Linked DNA regions of Lonchura striata. The protein of the gene in region 3 interacts with the protein of the main gene of each other region in a pairwise test. Links are inferred from orthologs where the notes say so. Each region holds a gene or a part of one and is shown on either strand. Other genes may lie near its edges.

Evidence for each region.
Region 1: the proteins of YAE1 (region 3) and CHD3 interact in a two-hybrid assay, tested with the Homo sapiens proteins (2 studies listed by BioGRID and IntAct). The link is inferred for Lonchura striata from reciprocal best matches to the Homo sapiens genes YAE1 and CHD3.
Region 2: the proteins of YAE1 (region 3) and LTO1 interact in binary tests that used the Homo sapiens proteins (3 or more experiments, as listed by UniProt). The link is inferred for Lonchura striata from reciprocal best matches to the Homo sapiens genes YAE1 and LTO1.
Region 4: the proteins of YAE1 (region 3) and CEP126 interact in a two-hybrid assay, tested with the Homo sapiens proteins (2 studies listed by BioGRID and IntAct). The link is inferred for Lonchura striata from reciprocal best matches to the Homo sapiens genes YAE1 and CEP126.

The regions. Positions count from the first base shown.
Region 1 is NC_134636.1:1,912,343-1,920,161, reverse strand, and holds the start of CHD3 (chromodomain-helicase-DNA-binding protein 3), read left to right. Parts: upstream 1-4,564; 5' UTR 4,565-4,666; coding exon 4,667-4,928; intron 4,929-7,819.
Region 2 is NC_134608.1:55,207,574-55,215,481, reverse strand, and holds the start of LTO1 (protein LTO1 homolog), read right to left. Parts: upstream 3,073-7,908; 5' UTR 3,038-3,072; coding exon 2,997-3,037; intron 1,684-2,996; coding exon 1,578-1,683; intron 763-1,577; coding exon 692-762; intron 237-691; coding exon 119-236; intron 1-118. Other genes in the region: FGF19 (fibroblast growth factor 19), read right to left, coding at 6,972-7,304. UniProt on the Homo sapiens protein: The complex LTO1:YAE1 functions as a target specific adapter that probably recruits apo-ABCE1 to the cytosolic iron-sulfur protein assembly (CIA) complex machinery. May be required for biogenesis of the large ribosomal subunit and initiation of translation.
Region 3 is NC_134603.1:103,309,230-103,317,326, reverse strand, and holds the start of YAE1 (protein YAE1 homolog), read right to left. Parts: upstream 3,025-8,097; 5' UTR 2,958-3,024; exon of another isoform or gene 2,952-2,957; intron 2,143-2,951; 5' UTR 1,960-2,142; coding exon 1,843-1,959; intron 262-1,842; coding exon 140-261; intron 1-139. UniProt on the Homo sapiens protein: The complex LTO1:YAE1 functions as a target specific adapter that probably recruits apo-ABCE1 to the cytosolic iron-sulfur protein assembly (CIA) complex machinery. May be required for biogenesis of the large ribosomal subunit and initiation of translation.
Region 4 is NC_134604.1:42,133,459-42,140,916, reverse strand, and holds the start of CEP126 (centrosomal protein of 126 kDa), read right to left. Parts: upstream 3,034-7,458; 5' UTR 2,965-3,033; intron 2,163-2,964; 5' UTR 2,090-2,162; coding exon 2,037-2,089; intron 1-2,036. Other genes in the region: ANGPTL5 (angiopoietin-related protein 5), read left to right, coding at 6,629-6,730. UniProt on the Homo sapiens protein: Participates in cytokinesis. Necessary for microtubules and mitotic spindle organization. Involved in primary cilium formation.

The DNA.
Region 1 (7,819 bases), on a different chromosome or scaffold from region 3:
GTCCATGTGTCTGTGCCACCTGTGTGTCCGTGCCACCTGTCCATGTGTCTGTGTCACCTGTCCATGTCCAGCTGTCCCTGTCCCATGTCCCACATTGTGTCTGTCCCTGTCCCATCCCTGTCCCTGTCCCCACATGTCCCCGATGTCCCCACAGCGCCGTTGTCACCGTTCGTTGTCACCGTTTGTTGTCACCGTTCGCTGTCACCGCTGTCACCGTCCCCACCAGGACACCGGCGGCGGTGGCAGGGGGTGACGCTGTCACCACCCGACCTGGTGCCACCCCCCTGGGGTGTGACAGTGACACCGGTGACACCTCCGGGCTGCCAGGAGCAGCAGAGCCACCGAACAGAGGCAAAAGGGGCAAAAAGGGCCAAAACGCCCCAAAATCGGCCCCGGGGAGGGCTCGGGGTGACAAAAGGCACAACCGGCCCCAAAAACGGCGTCACCTCTGCGGTGTGGGGTCCTGGGGGTGGCACACGAGGGTTGGGGAGAATTTGGGGGGATTTGTGAAAATTTGGGGTTCTTGTGGTGCTGCACAAGGGTTTGGGTGGAATTTGGGGGGATTTTGGGGTTCTGGGGGTGTAACACGGGGTTTTGGGTGGAGAATTTGGGGGGATTTGTGAGAATTTGGGGTTCTTGTGGTGTCACACGAGGGTTTGGGTGGAGAATTTGGGGGGATTTGGGGCCCTCGTGGTGTCACACAGGGCTTTTGGGGGAGAATTTTGGGGGAATTTGTAAAAATTTGGGGTTCTTGTGGTGTCACACGAGGTTTTGGGTGGAATTTGGGGGGATTTTGGGGTTCTGGGGGTGTAACACGGGATTTTGGGGGGGGAATTTGTGAAAATTTGGGATTCTTGTGGTGCCACATGAAGTTTTGGGGAGATTTTGGGGGGATTTGGGGCTTCTTGGGGTGTCACATGAGGTTTTTGGGGAGAATTTGGGGGGATTTGTGAAAATTTGGGGTTCTTGTGGTGTCACAAGAGATTTTGGGTGGAATTTGGGGGTCCTGGGGGTGTCACACGAGGTTTTGGGGGAGAATTTGTGAGGATTTGGAGTTCTTGTGGTGTCACAAAAGGTTTTGGGTGGAATTTGGGGGGATTTGGGGGTTCTGGGGGTGTCACACGAGATTTTGGGTGGAATTTGGGGGGATTTGAGGGTTCTGGGGGTGTCACACGAGATTTTGGGGAAAATTTGGGGAAAATTTGTGAGAATTTGGGGTTCTTTTGGGGGGATTTGGGGTTCTTGTGGTACCACACGATGTTTTGGGGGGATTTGGGGGTTCTGGGGGTGTCACACGAGGTTTTGGGTGGATTTTGGGGGATTTGGGTGTTCCTTGTTCTGAGTGACAACAACCAGGAACAGCTTTTGGGTTAAAAACCCAAATAGGGTAAAACCCCCAAACTTGGAGTGGTTTTTACCCCATTTCCCATCATTTTTGGGGTAAAAAGGCCCCAGAAAGGAAGGGGAAGGAAAAAAAAGGCAGCAAACTCCAGAGGTGGGGTAGGGGCAGGCACAGCCTGGGGGGTTTGGGGTGATTTTGGAGCATTTTGGGCAACTTCACCCCTAAAAACCATCACTGAGGACAAACTCCTCCATTTCACCTCTGGGTTTTTTTGGGGGGAGGATTTGGCCTGGATTTGGGGGAACTTTAAACCCTTTTTTCTCCCCTTTTTAATATTTTCTTTCTCCTTTTTCAATTTCTCCCCCTTTTTTCAATATTTGTTCTCTTTCCACCTTTTTTTCCCTCCCCTTTTCCTAATTTCCCCCTTTTCCCCCCTTTTTTTTTTAACACTTTCTTCTCTTTTTGGAATCTTTCCCCATCACTTTAACTCTTTCCAAATCTTTTCTTTTTTGATTTTTGCCCACTTTTAAAATACTTTTCCCCTTTCTAAAGTATTTTTCTGTGTTTAGTATTTGTCCCTCTTTTGAATCTTTTTCCCATTTTTTATCTCCCCCCTTTAATACTTTTCCCTTTCTTTCAGTATTTCCCCCCTTTTTTAATCCTTCTTTTCCTTTTTCAATTTTTAAATCTTTTTCAGTTTTTTACATTTTAAATTTTCTTTCATTTTCTCTGTCTTTTCATTCTTTTTCTCTTTTATTCTTCCCCTTTTCCAAACTTTTTTCCTTTTTAAATAGCTTTTCCCTTTCCATCCTTTTTTGTTCTTAAATGTTTTTCATTTTATTATTTCTCCATTTTTCAATACTTCTAGTGACTTTTGTTCCTTTTTGAATATTTTTCTCAATTTCAACATTTTAAAACTTTCATCCTTTTAAATATTTTTCTGCTTCCACCCTTTTTGAGTATTTTCTTCCTTTTTCAATTTTTCCCTTTATAATTTCTTCCCTTTCCCGTCCTTTTCCAATCTTCTTCCCTTTTGCAATGTTTTAAAAAATATTTTTTCTTTCAACCTTTTCTCTTTTCTAACCATTTGTCCCTTTCTCAACATTTTTCTTTTTGCATCTTTTAAAATCCTTTTCCCTTTCCCAATATTTTTTATTCCTTTCATTATTTTCCCTTTCCAAGCTTTTTTCCTTTTCCAATCTTTTCCCCCTTTTCAATCCTTTTTCCCTTTCTCAGTTTTTTCCCTTTTCAATTTTTCCCCTTTTTAATCTTTTTCCTTTTCCATTTTCCCCCTTTTCAATCTTTTTTATTCCTTTTCAATCTTTTCCCCCTTTCCCAACCTTTTTTAATCCCACCTCTATCTTTCCAACCCCTTCCTCAACCTTTTTTTTTTTAAACCTTATAACCCCCCCTTTTTTTTTGTTCTTCCTCCGTTGCAGCCTTAAAGAAACTCCAAAAAAAGAAAAAAAAAAAAAAAACACCCAAAAGAAAAAAAAACCCCAACAACCCCAAAACCCAACCCACCAAACCACTCCCTTCCCAAGTATTTCAAAGTCGAGGAGGGAGGGAGAAAGAACAAAAAAAATAAAAAAAAATTTGCTTTTTAATTTTTTTTTTTTTAGTGCGTGTTTAAAATCACCGAGGGAGGGGGGAGGAATGGGCAAAAAAAAAAAGGGGGGGGGAAGGGTAAAAATCCTTTAAAAAATGAAAAGGGAAGCGTGACGAGTATGGAACTAGTTAACCTTTAACAATTTATGCTGATGTCACACTGAGCATGAGTACTGATTAATCCCCCCCCGAAATATTTTTATGGGAGTGAGGGGGGGGGGGGGGGAAGAATAAGGAGAAAGAGAAGAAAAAAAAAAAAGCAGAAAAAAAAAAAAAGAAATAATTTACCGCAGCCATCTTTGTTTTATGCAGAAAAATCTCCGGCTTCGGGTCCCCCCCGGCTGGGGCCACACAAATATTTGTCCCTCGCCGAGCCGGGATCTTCGGGAGGGGGAAAAGCAAAATAATATCATTAATGAGGCCCCAAAAGCGACCAAAAATACCCTAAAATGAGCAGGATGAGGATTATTCGCCTGCTCGGGCAGTAACGGCGAAGGCTGGGGGGGGGTGGGGTGGGGGGAGCTTTGGGATTTATTATTTTTCAGGGGTTTCGTGCTTTTTGATTTTTTTTTTTTTTTGTATTTTTAAGGATTTTTCGTGGCTTTTGTTTCTAATTTTTTAATTTTTTTTTTTTTTTTTACGTCGCGCGGTTGATTTTTAAGGTTTTTTGGCGCTTTTTTTTTTTTTTGATGTTTATTTTTACCCTTTTCAGCCCTTTCTGGTTTTTGTTTATTTTTAACCTTTTTTCCATTCCCTTCCCTTTTTAAATATTAATGTTTATTTTTGACTCTCCTCTTTTGCCATATCAATTTTAAGCTCGATTGTCCCTTTTCTTCCCATTCCTTCCCCATTTTAAATTTTAATGCCGATTTTTACCCCTTTTTGCCTCTCCTTCCTGCCCCTTTCCATTTTTCCACCTCATTTTGTCATTTCACCCTCCCTTTCCCCTCCAATTTAACTCCTTTTCAATTCTCCCCTTTATTTCCTTCATTCTTTTCCCTGAACGCTTCCCTTTCCTCCTTTTTTTTTTTTTTCCCCTAAAATATTAATTTCAATTTTTTTTCCCCTTCCTTAATTCCCCTCCCCCTTTCGCGGGTTGGGTTTTATCGCTTTTTTGTGCGTTTTTGAGGCTTTTCCCCCCTCTTTTTCACCCTCTTTCCTCCCTTAAGGTGCGTGTGGGGCAACTTTAAAAAAAAACCCTCATTCGGCCATTTTGCGCTTTTTTTTTCCCTCAAGAAGAGGGGGGGGGCACCACCCCCCCATTTCCCTCATTTTTAACCCCTCCCTCCTCCATATTTTTTTACGCCTTTCCCCCCCCTTTACCGGGGTGTGTTTTTTATTATTATATATATTTTTTTCTCTTCTTTTTTTTTTTTTTTTTTTGTGTGTGTGTGTGTTGAAAGGGGGGGGGGGGTTTATTTTAAAATTACACCCGGGGCGGCCATTTTCGCTGCCGGCGCCGTCCCGCCGCCCGGCGCCTCCCGCGCCCTGAGGCGATTTTAACCGATCCGGGCGTTTTTCAACCCATCGCCGCCGCCCCCCCCGCGCCCCCCGCGCGGCCCCGCCGGGCCCGGCCCGGGGGGGGTCGCCCCGTCCCGCCCCCTCCCCACTTTCCCCTCACACCGAGCCCCCCCGGCCTCGGCGGCGGGGGCGGTTTGGGGCGGTGGGAGCGGCGCACGCCGAGGGTCCCCCCGGCCCCCCGCCCCTCAGCCGGCCATGGCGTCCCCGCTGAGGGAGGACGAGGAGGAGGAGGAGGAGATGGCGGTGTCCGAGGGGGACGAGGAGGACGACGACGAGGAGGACGACGAGGAAGAGGAGGAGGAAGACGCCGCCGCCGCCGCCGCCGCTGCCGCCGCGCTCTTGGCCGGGCACCGAGGGCCCCCCGACATCTTCGCCGGGCCGGCCCCGGCCCCGCTCCCGCCGCCGCCGCCGCCGCCCCCCGCGCCCGCCGCGCCCGGACCGCCGGAGGCGCCCGCAGGTACCGCCGGGACCCCCGAGTGACCGCCCCGAGCCCCTCGGAGATTCCCCGAGTGACCGCCGGGACCCCCAGAGTGACCACCCCGAGCCCCCCGAGGGACCGCCCCGAGCTCTCCGAGTGACCATCCCGAGCCCCTCGGAGATTCCCCGAGTGACCGCCCCGAGCCCCCCGAGTGACCACCCCGAGCCCCTCAGAGCTTAGCGGAGTGACCACCCCGAGCCCCTCAGAGTGACCACCCCGAGCCCCTCAGAGTGACCGCCCCGAGCCCCTCAGAGCTTAGCGGAGTGACCGCCCCGAGCCCCTCAGAGTGACCACCCCGAGCCCCTCGGAGTGACCACCCCGAGCCCCTCAGAGCTTCCCCGAGGTACCGCCGGGACCCCCCGAGTGACCACCCCGAACCTCTCAGACCTTCCCCGAGTGACCACCCCGAACCCCTCAGACCTTCCCCGAGTGACCACCCCGAACCCCTCAGAGATTCCCCGAGTGACCACCCCGAACCCCTCAGAGATTCCCGCAGTTACCGGGAGCCCCGAGCCCCTCAGCGCTTCCCGGGGGTACCGGAACCCCCGAGCTCGCCGCCACTCGAGCCCGGCGCTTCCCGGGGGTACCGGGACCCCCCAAGCGTCCCCCCGAGCTCGCCGCCACTCGAGCCCGGCGCTTCCCGGGGCCGCCCCCCGAGCTCCCCCTTCCCGCTCCCTCAGCGCTTCCCGGAGGCGCCCGCAGCCACCGAGCCCCCCCGGTCCTCACCCGTCCCCTCAGATCCTCCCGCAGGTACCGAGCCCCCCCGGTCCTCACCCGTCCCCTCAGATCCTCCCGCAGCCACCGAGCCCCGCTGTCCCCTCAGCTCCTCCCGGAGCTTCCCGCCGGTACCGGGACCCCCGAGACCCCCGGTCTGCCCCCACTCCCTCAGAGATTCCCGGGGCCGCCACAGCTGCCGAGGCTCCCCGAGCCCCACTGTCCCCTCAGCGCTTCCCGCCGGTACCGGGACCCCCTGAGCCCTTTGAGCTCCATTTTCCCCTCGGCGCTTCCCGCCGGTACCGGGACACCCTGAGCCCTTTGAGCCCAAATCTCCCCTCAGCGCTTCCCGCCGGTACCGGGACCCTCCTGAGCCTCAATTTCCCCTCAGTGCTTCCCGCCGGTACCCAGACCTCCTTGAGCTCCATTTTCCCCTCAGCGCTTCCCCCCGATACCGGGACCTCTTGAGCTCCATTTTCCCCTCGGCGCTTCCCGGCGGTACCGGGGGTGGGCTGCGAGGGGAGGGAGGTGTTTGTAAACAACCGCGAGTGTCACCGCGGGTGTCACCGTGCGGCCACCCGTGTGTGGGGACATCTCTGGCCGCACACCGGCCCTGAGGGGACACGGTGGTGGCGGGGGCTGGTGGTGCCCTGCCAGGACCCAAAGTGGGAGCTGAGCCCATCGTGTGGGGTGACAGGGGTTGGATGTCCCCTGACAGGACCCAAAGTGGCTCTGACCCCATCGTGTGGGGTGACGGGGGCTGGATGTCCCCTGCCAGGACCCAAAGTGGGCACTGACCCGTCATGTGGGGTGATGGGGGCTGGTGGTGCCCTGCCAGGACCCAAAGTGGGTGCTGACCCATCATGTGGGGTGATGGGGGCTGGCAGTGCCCTGCCAGGACCCAAACTGGGCTCTGACCCCATCGTGTGGGGTGACGGGGCTGGTGGTGTCCTGCCAGGACCCAAAGTGGCTCTGACCCCATCATGTGGGGTGACAGGGGCTGGTGGTGCCCTGCCAGGACCCAAACTGGGCTCTGACCCCATCATGTGGGGTGATGGGGGCTGGTGGTGCCCTGCCAGGACCCAAAGTGGCTCTGACCCCATCGTGTGGGGTGACAGGGGCTGGCAGTGCCCTGCCAGGACCCAAAGTGGCTCTGACCCCATCATGTGGGGTGACAGGGGCTGGTGGTGCCCTGCCAGGACCCAAACTGGGCTCTGACCCCATCATGTGGGGTGATGGGGGCTGGTGGTGCCCTGCCAGGACCCAAAGTGGGCACTGACCCCGTCATGTGGGGTGACAGGGGCTGGATGTCCCCTGCCAGGACCCAAAGTGGGCTCTGACCCCATCGTGTGGGGTGATGGGGCTGGCAGTGCCCTGCCAGGACCCAAAGTGGTGCTGACCCATTGTGTGCGGTGATGGGGGCTGGTGGTGTCCTGCCAGGACCCAAAGTGGGCTCTGACCCGTCATGTGGGGTGACAGGGGTTGGATGTCCCCTGCCAGGACCCAAACTGGGCGCTGACCCCATCGTGTGGGGTGATGGGGGCTGGTGGTGCCCTGGCAGGACCCAAAGTGGGAGCTGAGCCCATCGTGTGGGGTGACAGGGGTTGGATGTCCCCTGCCAGGACCCAAAGTGGGCTCTGACCTGTCATGTGAGGTGACAGGGGCTGGATGTCCCCTGCCAGGACCCAAAGTGGGCTCTGACCTGTCATGTGGGGTGACAGGGGCTGGATGTCCCCTGCCAGGACCCAAAGTGGGAGCTGACCCCATCGTGTGGGGTGAGGGGTGTTGCTGTGCATCTGCCAGGACCCAGAGTGGCTGTTTTGCGGAGTGTTGGGGGCTGTAGGTACCTGACAGGACCCAGGTCGGCTGTTGCACCCCATATTGAGGTGTTTGGTTGCTGATTCTCCCCTTCCAAGACCTGAATGGGTTGTGTTATCCTATATTGAGGTGTTTGGAGGTTGTTTTTCCCCTTCCAGGACCTGAATCACCCTGTTTTGAGGTGTTTGGGGGCTGTTTCTCCCCTTCCAGGACCCTGATTGGGTTATTTCACCCTGTTTTGAGGTGTTTGGGGGCTGTTTCTCCCCTTCCAGGACCCTGATTGGGTTATTTCACCCCGTTTTGAGGTGTTTGGGTGCCCATGGCTGCAGGTGTCACCT
Region 2 (7,908 bases), on a different chromosome or scaffold from region 3:
TTGCTATGATTGCAGAATGGGAGCAATAACTGCTTCACAAAATTTTGGAGTGGCTTTAGAAACAAAGTATCTTCAAAAGTGAATTTATATATTAAAATTACAACTTAATCCTACAAACCTGTTTAAATTTTCCTCTGATTTTTTCCAGATCTTCTTGCAGCTTATCATAAGTGGGGTCTTCATATGGGAATTTCTGAATCATCCCTATTAATGAATGCAGAGCCTTTATCTTTTTGCTAGAAAAAACAAAATTAATCAAATCAAAAGAAAACCCAATGATCCTCACACAGGAGTCTTTTCAATCCATCAATATGAAAATTATACTGATATATAATAATCCAGAGCACAAATCCCAGCCCTCCATCCTTCTTTAATTCCACTTCTCCCATTCAGCCCATTGTCAGGTGTGTTCCATATTCTTAAATAAGAAATTATCCAAACTAGGCATTATTCCAAATTGGGAACTAAGCATAATTGACAGATTTAAGGCTTCCATTTCAACTTACTAGTCCAAAATTGAGAAATATTCAAGAATCAACAAAAATTCTGATTAGATGACTGGTCAAAATAAAGAAAAAAAAAAAAAAGGGAATTCTGGCAGACAGATTAATCAAAATGGGACCAAAGAAAAAAGATACAAATAGAAGAATGGAAGTCGTAGTGAAATGACTTTAAGCCTTTTTAACCTCACCTGTTCTTTTCCTCTGTGCTTTTCTGGAGCAGACAGTGCCACGTCAGTGCAAACCCAAGGTAGCAACCAATCTAAAATTAATTTAAAAGAGTCATGAAGGAAAGAAAAAGCCCCACAGAACACAGAGCATAGACAGTGGAACAAAAATAAAACACTACACTGTATCTCACTCTTCAGGAACCTAAAACATGGGTACACAAACATGTTTCCAAGCTGGAAAGGCTGACAAGCATAAGGTTACCCAAGCCACCCTCTCACTTGATGTGTCTAATCCTGCCTCCTTCTGGAGCTTTCCCAGTATGAGGAGATGAGAGCAAATTCTCTCTTATGGTCTGTCCAGGACCATTTTGTACAAACCATCCAGCTCTGGAGACTGCTGTTTGGCATTCCCATCCTGTAGCTGTGACAAACTGACATATGGCACAAGTTGAGGCGCCTCCCCACCAGTCTCCAGCCCCTGAATTCCTAGGAATGGTTATTGATCCGGGTGTGCCAGAACACAGAGCAGAACAGGAACAGTGCCACAAAACCTCCCAGCATCACAATTAACAAAGGGTGCATAAGACACACAGAACTGATTCTTCATGTCTCAAGATTCCATGCTTTTCCCTATGCTGGGCCACAGGAGATGGTACTGGGGGGCAGAGGACCTTTAGCCATAAATTTGGGAAAAAAGATTACCGAAGCTCCATAGAGCAAATAAACAAAACACAACTGCATCTCCTGAACTCTCCAGCTCAAAACAGCATCTTTAAAGCAGTTTTATGGGTCCTCCTGGACACAAACAGAGCAATGAAACACAGCAGGCCTCAGCTTGAAAATTTCTTTGTGGCTGTAATTTTCTAATGACAAGAAGATTCCAGTGCTGAAGAGTTTCCCCATTTACCTCTGAGCCCATCCTGGCTCCGTGGAGCGCTCCGTACCTCCTGCCTTCAGTCATTCCAGCGTGGCTGCCCTCTGCAAGCCCCTCCTGGTAGCCCTCCCCATGGAACCTGGGAGTGCAGAATCACAGCTTGCTTAATCTCCTGTCCAGACCCCCCTTGGAACCTGGGAGTGCAGAATCACAGCTTGCTTAATCTCCTGTCCAGACCCCCCTTGGAACCTGGGAGTGCAGAATCACAGCTTGCTTAATCTCCTGTCCAGACCCCCCTTGGAACCTGGGAGTGCAGAATCACAGCTTGCTTAATCTCCTGTCAAGCTCACACTGGACGCGAGCGGCTCTGGACAAGAAAAAAGTGCATCGTCTCCAAAGCTTAGAAATATCACATAAAATAAATTCAAATTCCAAAATCACAGGCTTGTCTTGGTTGGGAAAGACCTCTGAAATCATCCAGCCCAGCCTTTGAATGATCACCACTGTGTCAACCAGACCAGAGCCCTGAGTGCTATATCCAGCTGTTCCTTGGACACCCCCAGAAATGGTGACTCCAGCAGCTCCCTCAGCAATGCCTGGCAACATTTTCCATTAATTCCTCCTTATATCCAAATTAAACCTCCTTTGGTGCAGCTCAAGGGCACTTCCTTCTGTCCTGTCACTTGCTACCAGGACGTAAAGTCTGGCCCCACATGGGGGCTCCTGTCAGGGAGTGGTAGAGAGGGAGAAGGTTCTCCCTGAGCCTCCTTTTCTCCAGGCTGAGCCCGCCCAGCTCCCTCAGCCGCTTCTCATCAGACTTGTGCTCCAGAGCCTGCCCCAGCTCAATTCCCTTCTCTGGACACACTCCAGCAACTCAATGTCTTGGATTAAGGTGCCCAAAACTGACCCCACAATTCAAGGTAGGGCCTCAGCAGTGCCCAGAACAGGGGGACAGTCACTGCCCTGGTCCTGCTAGCCACACTACTGCTGACACATGCCAGGATGCCATCATCCTTCTTGGCCATCCGAGCACACCTGGGCTCGTGTTCAGCAGTTTCTGGCCAGCACCCCCAACCCTTTTCCCTCTGGGATGCTTTCAGGAACTCTCCCACCATCCTGGAACGCTGCAGGGGTTGAGGCGGCCCAAGGACCCGACACTCGGCCTTGCTGACCTCAGCCCATCAACCCGGCCGGTCCCACTCTGTGCGGAGACCAATCCCTTGGCAGCCTATTCCAGCGCCCGACCATGCTCTGGATGAAGAAGCGTTCCCTGACATCCAACCCCGACACAACCCCAGGCCGCTCCCCGCTGCTCAGGCTCTCAGAATGCGCAGAGAGGCGAACCCTCCCCGCCCTCCTCCTCGGGCTCAGCGCTCGCCTTCCTTCCCTGGCGCTCCGCTGGCAGCTCGCAGCGGGAAGCAGAGGCCCGGCGGAGTGCCTCCGTGCCCTCACCTCTGCTCGGCCATGACGATCCCATCGAACAGGTCGGCCATGGCGGCGCGGGGCACGCCGGGAGCGGACGGCGCGCGCGAGGGGGCGGGGCTCGCGCGCCCAGGGCGCGCCCCCTGGCGGCGAAGCCGCGCCCACACGCGGCTGCGGCGTGCGGCCGCCAGGGGGCGCGCGAGCCCCGCCACAGAGCGGAGTCCGGCCGCGGCTGTGCGTGGAGGAAGCTCGGGTGTCCCAAAAATCCCGCCCCGCGTCCCAAAAATCCCGCCCCGCGTCCCAAAAATCCCGCCCCGCGTCCCAAAAATCCCGCCCCGCGCCTCTAAGCGTTGTCCAGACGCCCCCTGAGCTCCGCCAGCCGTGGCGCTGTGAGTGAGGCTGAGGAGCCTTCTCCCGGTGTCCGACCCGAGCCTGCCCCCACACAGCTTCACGCCGTTTTCTCGGCTGCTATCGCCGGGCGCGGAATGATGGAGTTTGCACATCTCTCTCACGTCACGCTGGTAGCTGTGGCTCTCAAGAAGTGTATTTTTGGTGCAGATGCCCACAGTTTTTCCCTGTGAGGGCGATGCGGTCCTGGCACAGGTTGCCCAGAGAAGTTGGAAAGTGTCCAGAGCCAGATTGGATGAGGCTCCGAGCAACGTCGGAAGGTGTCCCTGCCCCTGGAATGAAATGATCTTTAAAGTCCGTTCCAACCCAAACCAGTCTATGATTCTAAAACGAAAATATTTTTGGTGTTAATACCCACTCAAACTGTAGTGTGCCGTTCTAGGCTGCTTTATTAAAATACTAGTTGTTACAGATCAACACTGGTCAAAGGAAACATTTACAAGCACTTGTTTTAAAGTCAACTTATACTATTGCTTTCCAGATACTTAATGAAAATGTGGCTCTGGGTCACACTATTCTGCCACCCTGGTGTTGGAATATGTATATTTTTGAGGTAAAAAAGAGAAATTTTATTTAATTTATCAGGTTGTTCCCCATTCATATGCAAAGGACACTGGCAGAGTAGAAAGAGAGGCCCCCAAATTTTCCATCAGTTTCAGTGATTTGAGCAGAGGTAAAGTGGACACTGTGACTTTGAATTGATTTATACGTTTTTACACTTCCTCCAATGAAAGAAATGAAGACGCTCAGTATCTCCTTTCCTTCAGCCTCTCAGCTTCTCTAACAACTCGTATTTGCAAATCACAACTTCCAGCTGAGACTTCCCAAGGAGACATTTGACACCTGAGCTTTAAAAACCTTTCAGGGCTGTAAAATGTGCTGCTGCAAATGAAAGCAGCGCCGCTGTCCTCCTGCCTTTGAGGAGCTGTGATGGGCAGGGGACAGGGCTGTGCTGACGGCTGCTGGTGGTGTTTACATTCCCACAGAACCAAAGGTGCTTTTTGGAGGTTTTGCACACCCGGTTCCCGACCGAGTCAGGTGTCGCAGGCATTTCCCAGCAATCCTCCCACCTCAAGCCGAGATCTTGTCAGATTTTGTAAGCAAAACAGCCAGGTTTGGTCAGAGCTGGGATGGGAAAACGACGATGAAAACTGAAGCGCTCCAGGAAGTGGTGTGGGTTAATTTAGCTCCTGGCATTCTTCTCTCTGTCTGAATAAATATTGAACCAACCTCTAATCATGCTGTTGCAGGGAAAAATCATCGTGCCGCCGGTGGAAGAATGTAAGCCAAAGGTGTCAGCAAATAGGGTCACGAGAGAGCTCAGTATGATGTTCCCAAAATGTAAGGTTGCCTATCTTTTCACCCTTGAGAAACATTGCCAATGTTACACCCACTTAAAAAATCTCTCACTGGTTCAGTTAAACTGTGTACCCTCCAAACTCCATTATTTGCCATGTTTCCTGTCAAATCTGTGCCATTTTTTAGTAGAAGAGTAAAAGTGACTTTTCTTTTCTTGCCCAAACTTTAAAAGTTCATTCTTATTTTATTTTGTTTTCTGGGTTTTTTTTGTTTGTTTGTTTGTTTGTTTTTTAAAGAAAGGTCTTGAAAAGCATTCAAAGAAAATACAGTGGCTGATCAAACGAAACCAGAAATGAAACCCCCTTAAATCTGAAAAGCTTTGGAATAAAACAAAGAAAATCAGAACTACCTCTTCCAGCACACAAGGAGTGGGAACCCTCCGGATGTGTGGCAGTGGCTCAGCACAAAAGAGAATGGGAAAACACCATGGGCAATGTTGGCCAGCCAAGAAATCTGCTGTTCCTGTGTCTCACAGCGTTTCCAAATGGAAACATTCAGGGTCTTTTCCTGCCAGAAACTGACATATTTTTCACCACTTTTCTCCCTGGCAGCACTGGTTAGAATGGTTTCCATTTTTAAATGGGAGGAGCCTTCTACCCATAGGATTTTTGGATTTCTTTGTCAAAGGAAGTGGTTGAGTCACCATCTCTGGAGGTATTTAAAAGATGTGTGGATATGGCACTTGGAGAGAGACAAAAGAGTCAAGCAGATTTCAGTGTTGAAGATGATTTTCTCTTTTATTGAAATGTACACATTACACTAATGAAAAGGTACAGAAATTTAAAAATTGGCTAGAATTCCGGCTATTTAAAAATTGGTTAAAAATTGGCTATTGTTGGCTAAAATTCTCTTGATTACAAAGCTTCATGAGATTTGTAACAACTAAAAAACCCACCTTCAGAAGTATATAAATAGAATTTTGAGCATAAATAACAGTAGCAAAATAAACAGATGTATGTATTCAATAAATTAATTATAAATATTGCATTGGCAATGAAGTGCTAGGTCAGAAGAACACCAGTATTTCCACTAGAGCTTTTTTTTTTTTTTTTTTTTTTTTTTTTTACAGAAATCTGTATTATAAATGAACCTTTGGAAACAAGTGGAATCCCTGAACCATCCTTTCCCACCCCCGCCCCCCCCCCCCCCCTCCTTTGGCTTTACCTTGATTATTCCTCCATTGAATCTTTTCAGAGGGAGAACAGAACTTGAAGACATTGAGTGCCTTGGCCAGAGGTACTCACAATCCCTTCTTGCAAGGAGAATCCTGACCCAGTTCTGCAGCTTTTAACTCACTAAACCATCTCTCCACTGATTCCCGTGGATGCTGAATCAAGCCTGGAAGTGACTTGAAAGAATTTCTGATGGTTAAAGGTTAAACACAAAAACCTATTTTATGACTGATTTGACCTATACATCTGTTCTCAGTGTTTTTCTCTGTTTGCTAATGACATATACAGACTTATATACAACAGAATCTTCATTTGAACGTTCATTTGAGCTGCTCATTCCCTACTTGATGAACATCAATCCTAGCCCTGGGTACTCTTCCAATCACACACTGAATCCTCACTGATGTTAATGAGAACTCTCTGCAGATGATTCTGATGCCACAGAGAACATAATTTAGTCTACCAAAGAAATCAATGATCAAGTTTCCCAAAGTACTTCTTAGCAGTATGGGAAGAGAGAATTTTTTCCTTTCTTCTCTTATTTTCTAAGAGAAGAAAAAGCACAATATACAAGCAGATTTGTTTTTTCAGTAGCACTCTTTCCACAGAAAATTTTCCCCAGAATGTTGTTAGCAACCTTTTAAGAAGCATTAACTCAAGTTAGATCTGGTAGGATGTTTTCCTTCATCTAGTTTTGCTCCAAGTGTTTGAGTTTGAAGTCTCTGAAGAGGAAAAGTTTTTCTGCATTTGCTTGTATGATCAGCTACAACAGGTGGAAGTGAAGCTGGTGTAGAAAAACTACAGTTATTTTATCACCACCTATGGAAGAATTCTGATAAGGCTGCTAAACTTTTGGATTTAATTCTTCTTTTCCAAACAAAACTATGGCTAGACAAATCTTTAGACTATAGAACAGCCTCTTGGCACTCATCTCTTACAGGTACAACAAGGACATGGCTGGCTCCATACTCAAACACACAAAAAAGTTCCCAAATACCACTACACAAAAAGCTACAAACCCTGCAGTACTCTTCAGTATTTCTGTGAACACATGTTGGGAGCACAGTCAGTTTTGGAAGCTAGGGCTCTTCACTAGGGACAGTTTGGAGGCGATGCCAAAGGGGTCCATGCTGTCCGTCTCCAGAGGCGAGGAGAAGGCCTCTGGCTCAAAGGCCTGGCTGTAATCACCATATTCACCAAAGTCTGCTGACTCCATGGGCACAGTGTTGATCATGGGCAAGAAGTGAGACAGGGGAAGGAAATCTTTCCCCTTGAACTGCTGTCTTTGTTTGGCACTGCTCAAAGACACTGATATTCCGTGTTTTTTGGATCTATACACATTGTAGCCGTCTGGGCGAATCTCCTCCTCGAAGGAGCAGTCTTCAGTGGAATACCTGAGCTGAAAAGCAAGGAATAGTGAGAATTAAAAATATGCCCACCAGGCTGGTTGTATTCAACCACAAAACAAACCTTGGGTGGGAAAAGTCCTAGTCCCTCAGTGGGGGTATCCTGGCTTTCCCAGTCCCTATTCTATTCTATTCTATTCTATTCTATTCTATTCTATTCTATTCTATTCTATTCTATTCTATTCTATTCCAGAAGCCCTGAAGTTCTTTCCATGTCCATCCCATTAAATAAGCTTTGAATCCTGGGATGTGCTTCTCCACAGCCACTACACTTATCCTGTCTGAGCACTGGGAAAAAAGTCTCAGATGCCAGAGCTGATTTAGAGATTTGCCTGTGCAAGGGCTTCAGGATCAGGTCAGTAGAAAGGCAGAGTGGCCAATCAGTAAAACAATGCTAAAAGGTAATTTCCACCTTTTTCCACTCAGAATTTACTGAAATTGCTAAGGATCCTTTTACAAAGTGTCATTTTCATGTTAACATGAGAACTGTTGAATGAATACTAGCACAAGTTAGGACTTTGTACAGAAGAATGTATTTCCTTAGGTATGAATTTGTAAGATTCCATTTGCAATGGCCTGTACAGATACTATATACCT
Region 3 (8,097 bases):
AATATGTTGGTTCTTTTTGTTTGGTTTTTTTTTTGGTTGGTTGGTTTGGTTTTTGAATAAAACAAACAAAAACCTGCATGTGTGTTCCCCTGTTACACATCCTCCACCTATACTTGACCCTAAGGAGTTTGTAACCTACTTCAGGATTCCTTTGAACTGGCCGCATGTAATCATCAGCTTGGCACCGTGTCTGTAACCTTGATTAAAGCCTGTCTGGAGTGCAAGTTCTTTCCCGGCCTCAATTCCATCCCTATAGCCTTCCTGTAACAAAAGCATTGAAACAGGTTGCTCACAACATGACAAAGTTGACCTCCGACAAATACATAACAACAATAATAAAGAAGTTTAAACAAGTATCACAAATATTCAATCTCTTAAGATACAGCTTCTATATCTCAACATCCCCCACTGGCAAACCAAAACATGCTTGTTGCAGTATATTATGATTTACTGACCTATAAGATGCAGTTTTTTACTTTCCCCAGAAAGTGAGAAAAGAGGGAAACTTCTTTTAGAAAGATCAAAAAAGAAGCATGTTTGCTTTTAATGATTACCAACTCCTTTGTGAGAAATGGACTTAGAAGTACCACATAGACTTCCTTTTTTTCTGTTTAAAAAGATATGCCAAGCTTCCCCTTTAGTAGAGGTATTCTTCTATCTGTAATCCATCTACACGGAATCCATTTATTTTCACAAAATTAACTGCCGAGCATTGCTCCTTTATTTGCTGGACCTCACTCCATTCAAGAGTTATAGCAGAAAAAGAGACCGTGATTGAGTGAGTCACATATAAATACACATAACACTGGGACTGCTTTCTTTAAATATACAGCTAATGATTGAAATGCAAAGTACTTTCTTTATATTATAACCACAATACAAGGTTATATAGAATAATTCTTAACATTTTTTCACACCAAAATTGCAGGCTACAAAAGCAAAAAGTTTTATTTGTTCATTGTGGCCTTGCTAGAAAAGTAGTCTGGAGCACAAAAATTTATTCTCCCCAACATACAACTCTAACTTCAACAACCCTTCATGATTTTGCAGCATCTACTCAAAAATATCGGTGGGATTTCTGTAAGAACACTAAACAGTTCCTTAAGAAAACCAATCTTTTCATGGAACTCAGATGAAGGAAACTACACCAAGTCTGCTGTAATACCATTCCTCGTCATTGACTGCCTATGGTTTCCATCCATGTTCTTCAGCCAAACGCTGCTCAACTGTGAGCAGAGGAGCCCTACTGACCCCACTCTGAATGACACAGTATCTATTGAATTAATCTATTTATGAACTTGTTTTGTTCCCTACAAAACTGCAGAGGCAAGGGCTGTGGAAAGCAGCTTTCATAAAATATATATTTCACTTGGAGAATAAATCAACCAAAGACCTACACAGACCACAACGCCCAGTTGTGGTTACACATGGAGTCACACATCTTGCATTCTGCTGATGAGTAACTATACTCAAAACCCCAAACATCTCACATTTCTTTATTCACACTGTTCAGCTCTGTTGCCCTTCATTTACTAGGGGTATAACTACAAGTACAAAGCAAGTAGCTTGCATCACAATTTAGCACTGCCTTTTATAAACACACATGGTTGTGCAGAAGGAGTCAGTGTCTTTTGGTAAAACAGTACTTTGCTCTTAGTTTTACATAAACTGTTTATGTAAATTTCTGCCATATTTTCCTGATATTCAGAAGAAAGTATGCCACAATAACTTTTAAGCAGCTGCTTTTACTTTTCCCTTTGAATCATTCAAATGTATACCAAGTTAAATGTCACTAAATCTAAAATGACTAAAAAGTATATTAAATAATTTTTATAGAAATACCTTCAACCTCTTTTTCATAGTGCTGTTCCATTCCTTCTGTAGTAGACACATTTCATCTGCATCTTCATCAAATATATCCTCATTGGACTGCCTGACTGCCACTTGTACCCAGGACATAACAGCAGTGCCCTATGACTTCTGTTTATATGGTAGAAAAAGGGAGAAACTCTCAGAAGTGCCTCTGGTGAATGTCAGATTAGAAGTATTGGCAAAAAACTGAATTCTGAAGAGAAGCCAGGTATGGAGCTGATTATTCAAGCTGTACATGGGAACTCGGTGCTGTGTGCCACTGGGGTGCATCTGTCAAGAAAAGGCAATCAGATCATTGTTTGTAAATTAAGTTCTGAGATATATTAGGGCAATTTATGATAGCTCCTTCCCATCTTATGGCACTGACACACACATACAGATGCCAACGCAGCATTTATGAATACTGCCAGTACAAGGGCAGCTGGCAGAAACAACTTTATGACTTGCTTCCAACAGCAGCTGACAAATAGTCCCATACAGCCTCCATGTGGTGCCCTAAAACGAGTTGTATGTATACACACAACTTTACATATTGTGTACAAAATTTACTACACGCAGGTTAACACTTGCAGAGTCAATAACTGGGAAGTACCTTCACCGTTGATTTACAGTTTTCTGATTATGCCAAATATTTAACGATCTTATAAAGGAGAAACAGTACTTTATGTTTTGAATAAAGAATTAGAAAGTGCTGATGCAGTGCGAAGCAGAAATTTTCGGGCTATTTAATATTTTTGTATGACGAAAACTTCGAGAAGCGTTTCACAGCTAATTCATTTGCCTCGCTGCAAACTGTATGAACACACGGGCACTTCCTTGCGGAGACACGCGGCTCTCAGAGAAGCCAGGGCGCTGGGACCCAGCCGGCCGGGGTCCCGCCGCCTGCGGTGGGCAAGCGGGGCACCCCCAGCCCCGCAGCCGGCGCCAGGCCCCGCCGCCATTTCACGGCCGCGCACGTGCCCGGCTCCCCAGAAGCGGCCGCGCTGCGGGGAGCCTTCCTTCTCCCCCGCCCGGCCGCAGACGCTCGCCTTTCCGCGCTGCTTGCTTCCTTCTCCCCTCGCCCGGCCCCGCACACTGACCCTCACCGCAGCCGCCGGCACTCCACGCCGCGCTCCGCCATCTTCACTGAGGGCAAACGGATGCCGCTGCCGGCGCAGCTCATTGGGCAGCGACAGCCACTACGTCAGAGCTCCTCGGTGATGCTGAAGGCGCCATCTTGAGTGAGGGCGCAGCTCTTCTAGGGGCCGGGCCTGGCCCAGCCCAGCCCAGCCCAGCCCTGCCCTGCCCGGCCCTGCCCTGCTCTGCTCTGGGGACGCCGGACGCCAATGGGCCGGGAGCTGCTGCCGCAGTCGGGATCCGCTTACCCCGTCACCACCTCCCTCTTTCTCTGGAGGGAGCGGCATGTAGCTGCCTCGGCCTCCCACAGTGACCGCAGGACAACCCTAGGGTCAACGCGTCCCTCGGGGCATGGAGGTTTCATCATCTTTTCCATCATAAACGGTGGACTTAAAAAAAAAAAAACATCTGTCTTGTTGACTTCAGAATCGTCAAGCACTTTATGTGAAGCATGCCCTTAAGCTATCCTCTGCAAGACCCAGGTATTACACAGATAAATCCTTTTTAATATGAAAGATGCCAGTGGGAGTCAAGTGTTTCCGTGCTGACTTTTGACTAGAGAAAGAAAGGAATATCCTGTTGACGTAAATGAAACATAAATACAACAGTGTTGGTGCATGGTGCATTTGGCTTATGAGCATAGGTTTAAAGCTGATTAATCTTCATGAACACACAACAGATCAAACTGGAATTGAAGCTGCCTGCTTCTCGGAATTGCCAGAAGCTGTTCAGTAAGCTCCGCCTGTGCTCGGTGCCCTGCGGGCCCTGGCAGCCCTAACATCCGAGATTCCCCACGGGACCACACTGCCCCAGCCACTGCCCGCTGGCTCGTCTCCTGGCCTGGGGTGGCTGGGGACATTATAAATTATAATTGTCCCCAAGCAGGGCTTGGGACACTGCAGGGACAGCAGCAGGGCTCTGCATGTACCAGGAGACAAACGAGCGTGCAGCTGCTGCTCTCCCTTTCCTCCCTTCTGCTCTGCAGACAGCCTGTCCTCTTCCTTCTGGCCCATCTTGGATGCTCGCTCATGGTTGAATGCTGAGGAACGAGTAGTCAAGTAACCCAATCTTTCTAGAAATTTGTGTGTCAGGTGCCAAAATGACACTGATGCCTCTGGATGGCCACAACTGCATATCTGTTCCTCAGCAGTTACTACACATGTCAATGATTGCTGATTTCCTAGCCCACTTATGTCACTTTCAACTCCCATCTGGCAGATGCTAGCTCTGCCATTAAAAAAAAAAAAAAAAAAAAAGATAACAATACTGACTATTGCCTGCATGAACAAATGCACAGTCACGAAAATCCCTTCTGGCAACAAAAAACTTTAACTGGTCATAATGACACTTAGCAAAAATTCACCATGTGGAAACAATTCTTCATCTGGCAACAGCACTATTAAACTTGGGTTTAATAAGGGTTCTTTGCTTATTATCTTCTGTCTCATCAGCCTCTTGCTCTTCTGGAAAAGATACACAGGTCATGGCTCAAGGAAGCTGTGAGTTTCCCAGATTCATGCTATTAGCTTAAATGTCTTAAATTTAACCAAGTTGATCATCCCATACACATGGAAATGAGTTGTCTTGGTTTGACAAGACAGGAGTCTGTGAAGGAGGGCAAAAGCCTCCTGTGCAATGGAGAAGGTAAACCCCCTCCCTCCAAATTACCAGGATTTTTAAATTAAAAGGCTCTCAGGCAAAGATATGGGAATGGGAGTAACAATTCTTTACTAGGAGAAAACTAGATAACAATTTAAAAAGGCAAATGCAATTGGTACAAACAAAACTAGTGATAAAGTCCACAACCTGAGGATTCGGGGTGCCAGTAGCAGTCCGGTTGAAATGATAGCTGCTCCTCTTGCAGTGGTTGATGAATTGCAGCTGCAGTGGTGATCTTTAGAAGGGTATAGTTTTCTCTGAAGATCTGGTGGCAGCTGGGCCGGTCTTCCTCTGCGCCGGGGCCGCCTCCGAGCTCCGCCGCCGCCGCCTCAGCGCGCTCCGGCCGCTTCTCTCGGGAGTCCTGCCGAAGGAGCTGCTTCTCTGGGAATCCCGCAAAGAGAGTGAGCTGCTTTGTCTCCCAAAAGGTACCACTTTATACAATAAAAGAGTGCTTGGCTTCCCCCTCTGGGTGGAGCATCTCACAATGGGATGGTGTTACGTTACCAGCCCTGCATTGAGTCAGTCAATGGCCCACTAACAAACCATTACCTCGGAGCAAACCATTGCTCTTGGAAAAGATAACAAACCTGCCCAACCTCCAACAGATGGCAAATAGAATACAAGCTTATCTTACAAACCAGGACATTGTTTAAGTCTTTATAACTGTGAGAAAAAAATTAAGAAATTTCCACCCCTTTATGTTATTAGTTGTGGGTGGATAATTAGGTGAATCATTGTATACATAGAGCAACATTGTTGGGATATGAAGTACAGTTGGAACTTGAAGACAATGTGATTCTATACTGATGGCTTGGACAGGAGTGCTGGGACTGAGGGTGAGGTGCAGTGCCTCGGGATGTGGATGTTTTCCACACTTACGTGTCTTCTAAATGGGACAATGTTTGTGTATTTTGGTGCCACTGTCAAGATACCAGAATATCAAAACCAGAGAGCAATATTTCACTGCCTAAAAGTCAGTTCTGATATTTTTGCACAATAAAGTTGCCTGAAATTGTAAAAAGTTAAGTAGTTGACTTGTGAGCCATTGTAAAGTCTGCCAATGCCATATCTAAGTTTAAAACCAGGCAAATTTTAGGCCTAGGGTATCTGATAATAACAAAGGTACTTCTGGAACATGGACATGCGTATCTCAGCAGTTACTTCCTGCTTTCCTGGTGTACTGGGGAGAGCTTCCAGAGGGGTCAGTACACAGTCAGAGCTTAGTACTAACTAGAGATTTCAGGAGATAATTACACAGGAATTCTGCCAGTTTCATCTTAGCAGTAAAGTTTGCCATTAAGCAATCAGCCACAAGTGATTTCCAAAAGTGAAATATAATAGCATATTGTCATAGAGTGTTCCTTTGCACTGTTTTTACTGCATATAATGCTTCAGATAAAGCATTGCTCCTATTCAGATCATTATTACACAACTTTGTCTCTCGAACAGAAATGGATGGGAGTATCCAGTGGATTTTGTCATAGTGCAGACACCTGAAGAATTCAAGCTTTTTTGAAGGGTGGTTGATTACCTTGACCAGGACTTGTACATGGGCCACTCTGTGGTGCAAGTTCCTTTCGTTCTCACTACAGCCCTTTCTGTTGCTGTGTGCTGTTGTCCCTGACAGAATTAAGTAAAGCCTTGTGAAAGACCCAGAGCAGAGGACTATTTACACTGTAAATTGTTCTCCAGTCATGCAATGCTTATGGACTGACAGAGCCATGTTACATTGACTCCAACTTTGGGAATAATATCATTCTTTTTAGAAATCTAAGCTCTTAAATGGTATTTGGATAAATTTCAGCAACATTTAATTAATTTAAACATTTAAATGTTTACTTGTCTTCTATAGTAAACAAGACAAAAACATAATGAAAAAGAGCAAGCTATCAAAATGTGAGGAGAATACAAATGGTCAATATTTAATAAAGATGGTATATGCATTGTCACCAATGTTTTTGAAGAGCCTTAAAGTCTCTCCCAAAGTGTGTACATATTCTATGGTCAGGTCTGTAGTCTTTTCTGGGTATGTGGCTCTACTGCCTAGTCAAATTCTAGGCTGTTTTCCATGAATATCATGATAACAGGGCATTAGTAGGACTGCCTACAACAGCATCAAGAAAGACTCTCACATGCAGTCAACGTCTCTGTCCTGATCTTGGATCTGTGCATCTTTTCTTCATGCACAGGGTCGTGGGGTTGTGCATTGCTGGCTGAATTTCAATAATAATACAGTGACCTCCAGCACAAAAATACTTTGCTACCACAGAGAAGGAAACAGTGAGCAAAGAGGTTAAGTGCAAGGTCATAGGCTTAATGAGGTTTTAAATATTGCAGCTCACAGCATAGGAGACTATAATGCCCTTAAACTGAACAAGAGGGTTAAAATAAACTTCTAGAATCAATGAGTATTACCAGGGCATGGTAATAAACATACACTTCTGTATTTTCCTGTAATAGCTCTCATACAGGTATTAATACAATTTACTAGTGAAGCCCTGTCACCCTCTTCTGATGAAGGTAACTAATATATATGAATTACTTATCTGCTTTTTGTGAAATCACTTCTGTCTTCTTTAATAGCATACAATAATATTGCAACAACAATGCTGGGTCAAAATGTCACATTTAATGTGAGAAGAAAATGGAAGGATATAGAAAAGAAGGTATCAAAGGTAGATGCCTAACATTCACTTCCAAGCACCACAGGAGTCTTAATAGCTCTTTTGCCATTACTTCTTACACAAGTATTTTCAAGGGAGAGGATACTTTTTCTGCTTCTTGCTTCACCTGTATAACCAAAGCAACAGAACTTTGATAGTTAAATATTACAACAGGACAGTTTTCTTATTTGCAGAATCATTACCATTTCAGATCCTCACAAAGCAACCTTTCATGTTGTTTCATGAACTGCCAGCAGCTGGGCTTAAACCAAATTGCAAGTGGAAGTGGCTAAGTAAAGGAGTATTTCCGTCCCCTCCGTCCCCCCCCCCCCCCCCCCCGCTTTCCCCGGGCTTTCCTTGAATGTCCTCAGGGCTTGCAGTCTGGAAAACTGTACTCTGCACTGCTGCATACTAAGCAGAGCAAAAGGTACACTTTATTAGTACCAAAACAATTATCTTCTGTCATTTTCCTTAGTTTGCTCCTCAAATAAGAAAAGTTTTTGTCCCTAAAAGTAACCCACATTTTAATTCTGGAGTTTTGATAATAACTCTAACACCATAAAAAAGATAGTATGGCTGAGATAAAAATGAGCTGTATACCCATCCCAGCTCAAAATTAATGTTGACAGAACAGAGTGTATTATGGGACTACACTATTATTTTCAGAATATACAACAGAGAAACAAGGAAGGAATATTCCTAATTGTCTTCAATCTGTTGACAATGAGCTTTCCACAGTGCGAAATTCCACATGAACAGAAAAAGGTTATGTCAATAAGGGCAAGGA
Region 4 (7,458 bases), on a different chromosome or scaffold from region 3:
TTTGGTAAGGATGACAGCATTGACACAGATTGCCCTGAGAGGTTGTGGAGGATTGTCCTTCCTGAGTAGAGGTGTTCAAACAGATCAAGAGGTCCCGTCCTAACTCAACCATTCTATGCGAAGGTTAGAGGTCTGTCACACTTCACAGTGCACTCATTCTTACACTCCACACAAAATATGCAAAAGATACAAATTTTCTTTTGAAATCATACACTAGCAGTGCCAAGAACACTCCTGACATACACCTGTAAGCCCTGGCAGGGAGAATTTTGGGTGCTGCCAGGTGAGAATGTGGAGTTTAAGAACGTCATGCTACTCTTGAGAAACCATCATCACATCTAACACCTTCACATGTATAAGAAAGCTAATGGAACTTGGATCATATAGACTTGAGACACAACCTGAGGGTTGATTAATCAATTCATACCTGCATAAATCCCAGGAAAAAAATATGTAGATTCAAAGAACTTTATTTTCAAATTACTTTCCTGCACATATACAGGATTTTTAATTATCTATGTCACAGCTTGTAACATTGTATGCATTTTCTACCTTTCTAACATTAACTAACTCACTCCTTTTCAGTTATTAGGAGAACACTTGTTACCACAGACTCCATTTGAATTGCTTATTGTGCTAATAATTATGCCATTCTCAATTATCACAAATTGAAATTACTTTGTTTTACGAATACCATACCTAAATTTCTAAGTGACTCACCTGAGTAACTTGGATTTATACTGTGTTTCCTAAGGCTGCAATGAAATACATATGGAAATGTATTTATGTATCCACAAGTATTACTTTAACTACACCAGTCTGTCAAAAATATGCAGGCTGTCTGGTACTTGCTTTTACATTAAAGTATAATATTTCAAGACCAGTATTACAATAAACAGTGTTCATCTGAGATGTGTAGCATTGCAGTGGTTCTGTTCCAGAAAAAGAAATTAGGTATTTAATTTTTCAACTGAGACTTAGTTTATTATCTGCAAAGTTTGTGGGTCGCACTCTGTCTTTAATTACTCACAGTTGATTTTATCTCCTCTTCCATTTCTTTTTATTTCAAAGGGTAAGTTGACAGCACATACTGTCAGGCTAAAATGGCAATATAAACAATAAATACCACCTCTCTTCTGAGTTATGAACATATGCAATAAGTGAACATTGCACAACAGAAGTCATCAGATAAGGGAACTGCAGGGCACAAGCATTAGTGAGTTAACAAGAGGCAGAGGAAGCTGGTCTGAGGCTGGGGGCTTGCAAGGAGGAACCCATCTGCCTCTCCAGTACACACAGCTGAGCCCCCTGTATGTGTGAGCACCACCTCAGTCCTAGGGGAAAAACCTCTATTCCCACTGAACTACTCACAGCACTTCACTGAGACATTTCAGTGCATAATTTACTCAATCCATTTGCCACAGTATATTTCATGGCTTTGCATTCTCATGTATGCAGAAGACAGATTATGCAAAGCTCTGTTTAAAATGTACAAAATAAGTTTATTATAAGTATTATCCTGTACAAGAAAAATGTTGCTTTGTGTTTATTGGGAAATGGGAGCACAAAGCCTTGGCATGAAGGGGAAGCTGAGCAGCTGTTATGCCATGCAGACAAAAAAGCACACACTTCAGAAAGCAACAACTGCCTTCTGCTGGCCCACTCTGTACAGCTGAGTGCATTTTTCATACATGCATTGAAGCTAATAAAACCCAGAACACTAGAAATGCAGATCAGAGCCACAAGATGAAAGTACTACTTACCTTTAGTTTATATGAGATGTGACTACAGTGAGTTTTCAAAAATTAGTGAGCAAATCAGAATATTGCTCGTTTTATTTTATTTGTCCTATAGCAAGAAACTGGATTGCTGAAACTTTTCAGCTTAAATTCCTCTAGGCCAAAGCAGTGAGCTATTTATCAAAATGAACATGAGAATAGTAGAGATATATTGATCTGTCTCAAGGTTATGACTCCTTTTGCTTTGGTTTTATCTTTTTTTTACAATCCTCCATTAAAGGAACCCTAGTTACTTGCCTTCTTCTTCTGTTTGTCTCCATCAAATATTTCATTGCCTTGCTTCGATGCATTTTTTGATCCTCTTTCAATGCCCGACGTTCTTCTTGTAAATCCTGCTCAAAATGAAATATCAAATCTCCACCCCTAAGACTGTGTTAAGGACAATAGAAACTGTATGGAACAGCTCATTAAAAGATATAACAGCCTGTGTGATTGACCTTATATAAAGGAGGTCCCATAATTGTATGTTTACAGTCATAACTAACTTTATGCTCATCTAGAAAAAAAAATAATTGCACTTTACTTTTAAAAAGCATTTTAGGAGAGGCTTTACACTCATCTTTCATTGTATCACCAGCTGAAAAATCCCACCTTTATTATATTCATTTGAAGGGACATTTTGTGTAGTTACCTAAACCTGTAACATAAGGATGCAGATATGAGAAGGAAAATTTTAAATAGTAAACATCCCCTCACACACACACTCCCACACCCTAAAGGATTAGTTGTTTTCACTGAAATTGATTAACATCACTAAATAAAAGCTCTCCAGAGAGCCAGGTCAGTCCTGCATCATGCCAGTAATTATTTACGTAGTAAATAATCTTAAGAGTTTGCGTCAGTAGTTCTTACTACTAAGATTCAAAAAACAAGAACCCCCAAGTTAGGATGGAAAACCCTATTCCTAGTGGCATAATCTCCCAGAAAAGGGAAAACAAGAGAACTCCGAAGCTGCTGGAGCAGTCAACTTTCCCACGGCAGTTTCAAACCCGCAACGTGCAAGTTCCAATTTGAAGACGCCCCTGAGGCGGCCCCTGACCGCGGGGCAGGGCGGGGGCTGCGACACCGGCCCCGGCCCCGCCGCCGCCCGCCGGGCCGCACGCAGCGGCGCGGCCCGGGCCGCACGCAGGCTCGGCCGGCCCGGGAAACGCCGCAGCAAGGATACGCAGGGACGCTCTGCCCGCCCGCGCGGTCCTGCGGGGCCCCGGGCGGGACCTGCCCCCGCGCCGCCCCGCCGGCCGTGCCGCCGAGCTCCGTGCCGCCGAGCTCCGTGCCGCCGAGCTCCATGCAGCGCCGGCCCCGCCGCGCCGCTCCGCGCGTCTCCGCGCCGCGTAGCAACCGGCGGCGCCGCTTCCTTCGCAACGGGGCGGGGCCGCGGCGGGAGCAGCGGCGCGGCGGAGCGCGCTCGGCGGCTCCGCGTTCGCCGCCTGCGGGGCCGGCGGCCGGGAGCCGCCGCGCCCGGCGGTCCTCGTGGGGCTGAGCTCCCTTTCGTGTCAAACCGTGACACGCCGCCAGGGTGGGAGCCGCGCGGGGGAGCCGCTCCTCGCTGTCCCGTCCCGGCGGGAGAGCGTGCGGACACCCTGCCAGGGACGGTGCTCGGCTCTCGCTGCGCTTTCCACCCTCTGCAGCCGCGGCATGACCTCTAAAAGCCCCGAGCACACGGGGTCCGGGCGAGCTCGTGGGCAAACTGCGCCCGGCCCCGTGTGCGGGCTTTGCAGAGCTCTGCGGTGCGGGTGCCTCTTAGGCTTCTTGAAGACCTGGAGATAACACCATAAACTTTTTTTTTTCTTTTTAAACACAGGATGCAGAAATAACAGCAACAACCACCACCAAAGATGTTTTGTGCATCAGTTGATGCACAAAATGATGACTATTATATAAAAAATATTTACAAGTCTATGAATACAGCTACATAAAGAACAAAAAAAAAAAAAAAATCAAAAACAAAACAAAACAAAAAAAAACACAAAAAAAAAAAAAAAACCAAAAAAAACCGAAAAAACCCTCCAGTTTGTTCTAATGACTACAAAACCTTTTTTTTTCCCCCTTTTATTTTATATTTTTTTTTAAGCAAAGCAGGGTGTTGTCTTGGGATATTGCCCTGCCTTGGATGAGCTGTCAGCAACAGGCTAAATGCCTTGGTGATTTCCTGGGGAGACATTTCTTGGCTGATGTATTTGAGCTTAAACCAATTCTTCCTTTTTTTTTTTTTTTTTTTTTTTTTTTCCCAGTGTACAGCTGTTCTATGTCTTTGACTAGGAAGGTAAAAAAAATAGTACTCCGCATTTGTAAAATACTTTTCTCCACAGACCCCTCCCTCATATTTGTAGCACAGTTTGGGAAGTGGGTGTTGCTGTTACCATTTTACGGTCAAGACCAGTGGTGGGCAGGTTGCCAAATGTGTTCAATATTTATAGTATCCCAGTTACTGCCATTTAGAAGACCACCCTAAAATGGAAGTCTTTCAACTCTGCTTCAAAAAATCAACCCAAATTTCACCATTTCTTTGCCCCATCTGTTCTGTTTTGTTGCAGAAGGGGGAAAAGTGGTTGTCAATTTACCACTGTGGGCTTTTCAACCCCCCCCCACATTTAAATTCCCAGATTGCCTGATAAAATGCACTGTTTATTTTAGGATGCAGTAGAAGGCTTTATCAGGATGGAGAACTGAGTCACCCAATCAGAACTGAGACAGAGCTGGGAAATGACAGAATTTGGGCCCGTGCACATCACTTCAACCTACGAGATTGAAGGTCATGGTCAACTCAAGCCACTGACAGATTTTGAGCTTCCTTAGATTTGCTGAAAATTTTCATGTAATACAGCACAACTTGCAGCTTCACCTTAAGATACCTATTGAGATTCAGAAATTCCTCAGTGTTTATATATATTTCTATCTTGTTTACTTTTTTATTAAGTCTCCATAGTCCTTCTTTGTGGTTATTGGATAATTTCTCTTCATGAGTAACCTCACATTTTTCAGACTGTGGGACAAGAAGGTGACAAGCTGAGTGCCATGTAATTCAGAAGTGTATGATTATTCTGGGGCAGCAAGAAACCTGATCTTAAGTAGTTACAGAATGGAAGGTCCTGCTCTGACAGCTGGTTTGAAAGAAGTTTCATAAATTTTACTTTGGGCTGGACACTGATATTCCAGTGAAGGATAAGATCAGCTTTTAAAACTTTGTGGGATGTATTCTGAATTTATTACAAGTCTTATTTGAAGGCTAGAGCATAGCTGTGCTGCTGCAGAAATGCATTTTTCTTTCCTTCTTATTCCAGTGGAGGATTAATCTGCTGATGCTCCATAGTTTTTCTTCAAGCTGTGTAGGCAACTGCATGGGAGAAGATAATGTTCTGACTATTTTAACTATTCCTGCCTGAAATTTGTCACTCTACCTATTGATGTACATAGAAAGAAGAAGAAAAACTGTTAGTTTGCCCTTAATGTGATATATAGAGAGCCATGGAAATCTTTTCACATTTTTCCTTAGACTGAACTAATGATCACAACCTGCATCTTCTGGAGAGAGCATCAAGTGATGCACTAATTAAACCCTAGTAATTCTCATATTGGAAAACTATTATGTACCATGTGGTACTTTAGAAAAAAAAAAATAATTTTGAGAAATACAGAAGAGCCAAAGTTGTTCAGAATTTCACAGGCATTTCAATATACTCCTCTCAGTTACAGGTTCTTAGTGCCATTAAGGTATTAATTTTCAAAGAAAACATTGGATTAAAAAGTGTATTAATCCCCACTCCCAACAAATATTGGTTGCTCCCAACTAGTCTTAGTAGCAAAAACTATTTCCAGTGTATTCCAGCTTTAGATAGAGGTGGAGATTAATCACATTATCAAGCCAAATTTGAAACATTTTCTTCCGGTGTAACATGCAGGTTAACACTGTATTTTAAAGATCCTTTAGACAGTGTATTTCCCAGTGGTACATTGGAAGCTGAGGTTTCATTTATTCAGCCAGATCACAAACAATTTAAATTCTCTAATGTGTCTAAATTCTCTAAGTATGTTTGACCTTTGTGAACTTTTTTTTCCTCTTAGACTGTCAGATCCAGTTTTAAGATACAAAAGTAGTGGAATTGAATGAAATCTGTAAGTGCCCCATAGTTTTAATTAAGCATTTAATTTTCTTCTTTTTCATGCCATTCTCTTGTACTTTGACTTTTTTCAGAGATAAAAATCATTGTACTGAATGACAGACTCAGTACCTGTGTTACAATGGGTGGGCTACCGGTGAAACCAACATACTGCTGTTATTCTCCTGGTAAAAGATTTTCTATGCAATACGAAGTATTAATTTAAAATAATGTTTATTCAGTTCTCTATTTTGAAATTACTTTGATGACATATTCCAAAACTGCCTCCACATCCTGTTCTAGTGCACTATCACCACAGCAGTACAGACTCTTTCATTTTAATGATAAAAAAACTTGGTAAAAATCTGAAAACATCAAGTGATACTAGTTTTTCTTTCAAGCAACCCAGAACACTCATGCCAAATATACAAAAATGCTCAAGAATAGCATATAAGAAAATCTGTCAGAGTTTATGACAATGAAAATATATGTTTGATGTGTCATGTAGAGGTGATAAGCTGTAATTTTCCTTCAGGATTCAAGTAGTAATATATAAAATCTACTGTGCAATTGAAATGTGGTTTATTAAATCCAGGCAGTAAAGGAGTGATGTGTTGGCTGTCCTTTGTGCTGTAGACATTCCCAAATAGTTAGATCAGGCCTTCATAGTGTACAATTCTTTCCACAGAAATTTGAAACCCATCAAAACATTTGCATTTCTTCAAGTAAAAGATGAACCGCCACTTTAGGGTAACTTCATTTATTTGTCTTAATATTTTTTTGTTCAGTTTAGGAAAGACTGTGATAAATAATGGCGAACCTTGTTCACCTAAGGTAAGATTTTCTTTTACTTTGTTCAGATAAGATAATGAATGTAACTGAATGATTTCTCAGAAAAGTGGCAGATGTTTTAAAAATATGGATTGCCTTATTCAAGACTGATATGGAAATACAGAAGAATCAGGTATTTTCAGATAGAGAAAAGAAACTACATTGAAATTGCAGGAATTCAGTATATTAGAACATTTTTGAGTCCTGTATGACAGCTCAGTGGTTATGTCATATTTTTAATCTCATATGCATGACTTTAAATGCAGAGTAACTATTGGTTTTGGCAGAGTTAGTTTTTGCTTGAATTGCTGAGAACAGATTTAATTGCTTATTTCATGTTGGCTTTTGTTAAAGATAAATATTGATTAAAAATATTTGCTTAACAGTGTTTAATTGAACATCTGGTGAGTAGCTGTGATAGCCCTGAAACAAGCCATACTTTCAAGTGTTCTATTTATAAGTTTCTAGAGATCTTTTTATAACTCTTGCATAATTTTTCCTTCTTTATTTTGTGTTTATTTCAAAATTAAAGAAACTTATTCTTTTACTTCTCTGTCATTCTCCTGGCACAAAATGCAATTATACCAGTAATTTATAAACCTTTTATTGTAAAATTTCTTTGTATAACAGTTTTCTGTAATTTTTACTTTCACTTTTTAAGAACAAAAACCAGGGGAAAAATCCTTGTTCAGTGCTGGCTGGTGTAGTACCAATTGCAGAAAGAAAACTGG